2 linked regions of the Oryctolagus cuniculus genome follow. The protein of the gene in region 1 purifies or fractionates together with the protein of each later gene. This does not show direct contact. Links are inferred from orthologs where the notes say so. Each region holds a gene or a part of one and is shown in the gene's direction. Other genes may lie near its edges. The genes, in order: TGFBRAP1 and VPS33A.

Evidence for each region.
Region 2: the proteins of TGFBRAP1 (region 1) and VPS33A purify together in Homo sapiens (co-immunoprecipitation; 5 studies listed by BioGRID and IntAct, with this or other methods). This does not show direct contact. The link is inferred for Oryctolagus cuniculus from reciprocal best matches to the Homo sapiens genes TGFBRAP1 and VPS33A.

The regions. Positions count from the first base shown.
Region 1 is NC_091433.1:103,288,754-103,292,558, forward strand, and holds part of TGFBRAP1 (transforming growth factor-beta receptor-associated protein 1), read left to right. Parts: intron 1-1,608; 5' UTR 1,609-1,622; coding exon 1,623-2,310; intron 2,311-3,805. UniProt on the Homo sapiens protein: Plays a role in the TGF-beta/activin signaling pathway. It associates with inactive heteromeric TGF-beta and activin receptor complexes, mainly through the type II receptor, and is released upon activation of signaling.
Region 2 is NC_091452.1:6,888,669-6,892,473, forward strand, and holds part of VPS33A (vacuolar protein sorting-associated protein 33A), read left to right. Parts: intron 1-725; coding exon 726-894; intron 895-1,896; coding exon 1,897-2,078; 3' UTR 2,079-3,663; coding exon of another isoform or gene 3,664-3,805. Other genes in the region: uncharacterized protein, read right to left, coding at 3,664-3,805.

The DNA.
Region 1 (3,805 bases):
ACCATGTGGATTCTTTACCCAATATTCTTTGTTGCTGTTTAGTTTCTCTCTTGTGCTAAGCAAAGACAGTGGCTAGAATTTTGGTTGTGGAGGTCTGAAGCTTGTCTATTTCTACCATGAATTCATATTCCAAATGGGAGAATGGCTGTGTCCTGGCTTTTTCAAGGACTGCCATGACTGATTAAGCAATGAAGGATCAAGTTTTTTTTTTTTTTTTAAAGATTTGTTTGTTTATTTGAAAGGCAGAGTTACACACACACAGAGAGAGAAACAGAGCGAGAGGTCGTCCATCTGCTGGTTCACTCCTCAAATGGCCACAATGGCCAGAGCTGAGATGATCCAAAGCCAGGAGCTGGGAGCTTCTTCCAGATCTCCCACGCAGGTGCAGGGGCCCAAGCACTTGGGCCATTTTCCACTGCTTTCCCAGGCCATAAGCAGAGAGCTGGATGGAAAGTGGAGCAGCCAGGACACGAACTGGTACCCCTATGGGATGCTGGCCCCGCAGGCAGAGGCTTAGCCTGCTACGCCACAGTGCCGACCCCAAGTTGTTCTGACACCTATGAGAGGACAAGTGACGACGAGAGTCATTCCTCCCCTTTCTCCTGCCTGAATCTTTCTGGAGTGCCTCTGAGGTCCCCTAGCATTTGCCAGGCCGCCTCAGAGGATTAAGGAGTTGAGAGTCTCTCCGGAGGCAGCCTCATTCCCTCTGGGGCAGCTTGAAGTGCTGGAGAAAACTTTTCTGATGCAAACCCAGCCTGCTTCTCCCAGGCTTCCACCAGGCTTGGCAGCGTGGCCTAGAGCTCCCCAGGCCCCTGTGCCCCTGTGCGGGCTGTCAGGGGCTGCGCCTCTGAGCCTGCAACCCGACAAAGGCAGAAGGGCCACCCTGCTGCCTGTTCTGCTGTAGAACTGGGACCCCTTGCAAAGGAAGAAGCAGACAGCCAAGGGTCCAGCTTGTGGCACAGTGTCCCCCTTCTGCTGGAGGTCATCTGATTGCTACCAGGGACCTGCCCACAAAGCCGCTCACTTGCTACCTAAAGACACGGGAGACTGAGACACACCTGTATGACTTGACATGAGCGTGCTTACCTGGGGAGTGGAATACGGAGCTGGGGCCAGTGCGCATGCCTTCCTGGGAAGAACACAGAGGAATTCGAGGCCTCATCCTGCCTCTGTGTTTGCCAGCAGGATCCTGTGGCTGTGTCCCACCATTCGCTCAATGCAACTACAAGTAGCTGTACAAGTTCAAGGGGAAGATGGATGAGGCTCGAGCCTGCCTTTTCTGAGAGCTTTTTGTCAGGTTGCCTGGGGGTGCCTACATGTGCTTGTCCCCGGGGTGCATACATGTGCTTGTCCTGTACCCACAGGAGTGGCTCCAGGAGCAATGGGAGGCGGCTCTGCGTGAGTCTAGGCTGTGTTGGGAGTGAGCCTGCTGGCGCCAATCAGAAGCACCTGCGCACACGGGGGAGGTGGCAAGGAAAAATTTGCCTTCTGAATCGGTGCAGAATGATGTTTCATTGGCAATGGGGACTGGAGGAGCTGGGTGTCCTGATGCTTCTGCTTCCGCCTTCTCCCCGCTAACGTGAATTCTCCCCCCGTCTCTTCCTGCAGAGAGCCCGGCAGGCATGATGAGCATCAAGGCCTTCACCCTGGTGTCTGCCGTGCAGCGCGAGCTGCTGATGGGCGACAAGGAGCACATCCACATCGCGTGCGTCGAGTGCTGCGGCAAAAACCTGTACGTGGGCACCAACGACTGCCTCATTTACCACTTCCTGCTGGAGGAGAGGGCGCTGCCCGCCGGGCCGGCCACGTTCACCGCCACCAAGCAGCTGCACAGACACCTGGGCTTCAAGAAGCCCGTGAACGAGCTGCGGGCAGCCTCGGCCCTCAACAGGCTGCTGGTGCTGTGCGACAGCTGCATCACCCTGGTGCACATGCTGAGCCTGGAGCCCGTGCCCTCGGGGGCCCGCATCAAGGGGGCCGTGAGCTTCGCCCTGAACGAGAACCCCGTGAGCGGGGACCCGTTCTGCGTGGAAGTGTGCATCATCTCCGTGAAACGCCGAACCATCCAGGTGTTCCTGGTGTACGAGGACCGGGTGCAGATCGTCAAGGAGGTGTCGACCCCAGAGCAGCCCCTTGCCGTGGCTGTGGATGGCCACTTCCTGTGCCTGGCCCTCACCACGCAGTACATCATCCTGAACTACAGCACGGGGGCCTCCCAGGACCTGTTTCCCTACTGCAGCGAGGAGAAGCGGCCCATTGTCAAGAGGATAGGGACACAGGAGTTCCTGCTGGCGGGCCCGGGAGGGCTGGGTGAGGACATTGCCTTAGAGCCGCTGCCCCGCCCCCTCCCTCCTGGGTGGGGGGGTGGGGGGGTGTCCCAGGGGTGAGGCTTTAGCTGTGAAAAGGTGTCGCTCCCCCTCTTCGTGGAGGAACGACACAGGACCCTGCGCTGTTCTTTCGTCTGCTCGGCCCTCCCCGGGTTTGCTGCTGGTTCTTCCCGGGTTGGCTACTATCCCTTCCACCTCCGTGGAAGGGCAGTTCCCCCTGGCCGCATTCCCCACTTCCGCAGGGGAGCGGCACACCGCCGGCCGGCTTTCTCGGGGGCTGCACGGGTTCCCTTAGATGTTCCCCATAGATGTTCCCGGTGCATGCCGTCTCTCTCCTCCTTTATAGTCCTCCTCCGCCAATCCCAACTCGGCTGAGTACGCTGCTCTCCAATCAGGAGCAAGTCCTACAGTTAATTGGTTGAACTGGAGGCAGCTGTGCGGAAGCTGTTTACTTCTCTCCCAGCGCCATATTGTGGGAGAGCAGATGCATAGAATGAGTCTTAATTCGAGTAACAGTCTAGTCCGGTTTGCTCCCCACAGATCCCCCTTTCTTTTTATTTTTTAGCGTTGATACGCGCCTGTCTTCGGTGTCCCGCGGCACACACTCTGCTGTACTTGCTAGAGTTGCCACAGGCTCTTACAAGTCCTATCAATCAGGAAAACCGAATCCGGGTCCTCTCTTCGCCATTGTGAGGAGGTTTTTAGGCGCTGATGCGTGCCTGTGTTCGGTGCCCTGCAGCGCATGCTCTGGTCGAGCCTGCAGGGGCTTACAAGCTCTATCAGGCAAACCGAATCCAAGCCTTCTAATTGGCATGTTGAGGGGAGGCCTTATTTTTCTCTATTTCTCTATCTCCGGGCATTCCTACCTCTCCCATTTCACTTCTATCTTCCAGCATTCCCATTTCTCTTTTACTTCACTTCCAAACTTCTGTTTCTCTTATCCCTACGGCTTTCCGGCACCTCGCCCCGCCGGCGGGTTCCCGGCTCTGCGCCGCTTCAGCCCGCGCGCCTCTCTGCGCGGCTTCCCGGCTTTGCGCGGTCCGCGGTCTCCACGCTTAACCCTTTCGCGTCTGAACCACGGCCTACGCCAGCGTTCCCTATCTATTCACGCCCCGTGCTCTCTCTGCACGCGGCGGCTTCCGCGAGTAACACAGCGTAGCTTGCGTCTCCGCCACTAGGATTCAATCTAAGTTCCCCGGGCTAGCCTGGCGAATTCAACCCAGCGTACGTCTCCGCCCCACGATCTGGCTTCCCGTCCTTTGCTCCCCGGGCTAATCAGACGGATCCCAATCTGGCTTACGTCTCAGCTTCTGGTTTTAACTTTTCGCCCCCTATTCCCGGGCTAACTTGAGAATCCCAAAGTGGCTTTCGTTTCCGCCTTGGCCTGCCCCCCGCGGCTTCAATTTCCCTAACATTTTTCTCTACCCGGTATGTTTCCCTAAGTTTTCTTCCAACAATATTCCTCCCTCATTTCTCCT
Region 2 (3,805 bases), on another chromosome or scaffold:
GATGCTGCGGTGGGGAGGATGCCCGCCTCCCAGCCTCGGCATGCGCCTGCTGCCCACATCTGCCAGGGGCTCACAGACCCAGCCCCGCTGGACGGCCTCCGGTTGTCTTCAACTTCCCCACCGCTTACGGGGTCTTGAAGATTTCCTGTGGTCTCCCCCTTCTCCTCCTTATTTCTTTGTAGTTGCTGGCTACTTAGTAGTTTTGAGGATATAGCTTAGGATTTAGCAGATAGAGGTTGAGGTTGTGTCCAGCCTTTTGCCATTCCATACAGTGTTTCAGTTCCTGCGCTTTCACTCTGTCCACTGTCTTAGGGCCTACAAACACTTCTGTAGGAGAAAAGCCCAAAGTACCCTAAAAGTACAGTGCTGGGTTCAAAGGTCGTGCATGATGTTACTTGGGGAGAGTGCGCTCAGTTACCCCCAGGGAATTTCTTGTCAAGCAGAATGGCAAGTTCTCCTGTGCGGAACCTGGGGCTGACTGCCCGGCTTCGGAGTCGAAAGGGAAGCTCTGGCTGCCAAGAACCGCGCAGCTGGAGTGGAGCGAATCGGAGCAAGCACAGGGTGCGTGTGCGTGTGTGTGCGTGTGCGTGTACGTGTGTGTAGAGGGGGACAGGCTTTGTATCTCTGCCTTCAAATACAAATCAAATAATTCTGGACTGCCCAAACAGCCGCAGTTCGTAGTCTACGTCTCCGAGTCTCCGAGCTTCCGTTTGTTTCTTTAACAGAACCCTACTGATATATCCTACGTGTACAGTGGTTACGCGCCGCTCAGCGTGCGGCTGGCCCAGCTGCTGTCGCGGCCCGGCTGGCGCAGCATCGAGGAGGTCCTCCGCATCCTCCCGGGGCCCCACTTCGAGGAGCGGCAGCCCCTGCCCACAGGGCTGCAGAAGAAACGTGAGTGGCGGCCAGGTGTGGCGCGGTGGGTGTGTCGTGCAGTTGCTGCGTCACGTGCTTGGGACCAGGACCGCTCTCGTGGTCGTTAAGTGCGAGAACCACGTCACTCCCTCGGGAGCAGCAGCCCCCGCCTCTGCGTGGAGGAACCCGCAGTTAGGAAAAGCCTGGAGCTGCAGATCGGTGTGTGTGAGGTTCAAACGCAGCGTCTTCCAAGACGCATCTGCCTTTTCATCCATGTGGAGGACAAAATGGTTTTGTTTAAGATTTATTTATTTACTTTGAAAGAGTTACACAGAGAGGGAGAGACAGAGAGAGAGAGAGATCTTCCATCCACTGGTTCTCACCTCAGATAACCACAAAGGGCAGCACTGGGCCAGGCCAAAGCCGTTTGCCAGGAGCTTCATCCAGGTCTCCCCCTTGGGTGGCACAAACCCAGGCAGTAGGACCATCTTCCACTGCTTTCCCAGGTGCGTTAGCAGGGACCAGGATCAGAAGCACAGCAGCCAGGACTCAAACTGGCACCCATATGGGATGGCGGCTTCTACCCACTATGTCACAGCACCAGCCCTAGTGATAAAATGTTTTAAAAAGTGGAAAGAAGGGCCGGCGCTGTGGTGCAGCAGGTTAGCGCCCTGGCCTGAAGCGCCAACATCCCATGTGGGCGCTGCTTCGAGATCCAGCTGCTCCACTTCCAACCCAGCTCTCTGTATGGCCTGGGAAAGCAGTGGAGGATGGCCCAAGTCCTTGGGCCCCAGCACCTCCATGGGAGACCCGGAGAAAGCTCCTGGCTCCTGGCTTAGGATCAGCACAGCTCCGGCCGTTGCAGCTACTGGGGAGTGAACCATCGGATGGAAGACCTCTCTCTCTCTCTTTTTCTCTCTCCCTCTCCTCTCTCTCTGTAACTCTGACTTGCAAATAAATAAATAATCTTTTAAAAATAAATAAAAAGTGGAAAGAGAAGCACCAATAATAGTTTCTAATTCTGAAATGTTCACATTTTAGGTCAACCAGGAGAAAACCGAGTCACCCTGGTGTTCTTCCTCGGGGGTGTGACCTTCGCTGAGATCGCGGCGCTGCGGTTCCTCTCCCAGCTGGAGGATGGAGGGACGGAGTACGTCATCGCCACCACGAAGCTAATGAACGGCACCAGCTGGCTGGAGGCTCTGATGGAGAGACCGTTCTAGCGCGTGCAGGAAACCCTTTTTGAAGAAGTTGCAGAGAGGAAATGAAACCCCGTGGAAGAAAACAGGAACACAGCACTTACTTTGGGGCCAGCTTCCTCCGTTATACTACTGCGTATTCCTTCCTGCTTCTCTCTTTATATTCCTAATTTCTTGAAGAAAGAAGAATAGGAAGGAAAAGAAATAGAAGGTAAAAGAGAAATTGAGTTTGCATTTTCCCAGCTGAGGGTCTTCAGTAGAGGTGGCTGGAAATACGGGAGGGGGGTAGCGAGAGACGGCCCCTGGGCTGCAGGCAGGCTGCACGCAGGGGCCCGGGTGAAAGTGAGATTCAGAGTGGAAGGGCCACCCCAGCACACAGCGCTGTTCGGGCAAGAGCTCCTCCTGCACTGGGCAGAGTTCCCTCGGGCGGCACACTGTATGCCGTGTCGCCAGTCTCTGTCGTGTCCTTCTGAGAAAGCAAGCTGCGTGTCCGGAGGTTAAACTCAAGAACATGGTGCTGAGGGAGCAGCTTTCTGCGATGCCACCGTCCAGTGAGGCGCGATGTTGCCTCCGGAACTGGGCGTGGCAGGTGCCTCTGCTGAGCCTTCAGTCCTTCTCTGTGTCCATCCATCCTGGGCCCAGTGTCCAGCTCGTCCCTCCCTCAACAGGGATGACTCTTGCTGCTTCAGCGCCTGGCAGGTCCGTCTCCCTGGTAACCACCTCCTGCCTTTCTCCCCACATCCATTGGCTTGTAAACATCCAGCCCAGTGTTTCCGTCCCTGGTCTGGTGACCTCAGCTTCTGCTATGCGTCCCCTCCGTGACCTTGGAGTTCAGCAGCTCCTGCTCCTGCTGCAGGAGACTCTTAGGCTGTGGTTGAGAGTGGGGTTGGTGGAGTGTTGGAATCCATTGTGTGTCCCTACCTCCCTCCTGCTCCACAGCAGGGACTGGAGGAGTGAAGAGCACGGAGAAGGGGGCCACGCTGATGGCCCCTGCCCACGTCCCCAGAACCAGGTGGGCCTTTGCACATTATGCCCCTCATCAGAACCACGTGATTTCCCCTGCCTTTGCATGGGTGGAGTTCTGATGAGTGCACTACACTGCATCTGATGAGTAGGACAGAAGTTCTGTGTTTCTTAAGCTTTATTTATTGGTTTGAAATGCACAGTGACAGAGAGAAGGAACATTAGAGAAAGATCTTCCATCTGCTGGTTCGCTCCCCAAATGCCTGCAAGAGCAAGGGCTGGGCCAGGCTGAAACTAGACCATTTGGGTCTCCCACAGGGGTGGCAGGACTGCAAGTACTTGGGCCGTCACCATCTGCTGTCTCCCAGGTGCCTTAGCAGGAACCTGGATCCCAAGTGGGGATGGCACTCAGTCCCAGGCACTCTGACATGAGATGCGGGGTGACCAAAGGGGTGGCTTAACTTCATCTCAAAGCTCGCCCCATGTTGTTTTTGTTTTTTGTTTTTAATCACTTTATTATAAGAATGAAGTGTGGTGGAGGTAATATTTAAAATATGAGCTTCTCATGAAATTAATTTGGCTTTGACATTTAGTATTTGGACATGCCAAACTGTTTCTAAAATGGAAAACCATTCTTTAGGAAAGCCTATTTCCAATACTTGCTCTCCCAGGGAGATTCGTCTATGCTTCCAGCCTCAGCTGCTTTAGAGGATAAAGCCCGCCTTGTCCCTCGGTGTGTTTGGCTCGTGGGATTCAGCGCAAGTCTGCTCAGGCCTCCCTCTGTCCTG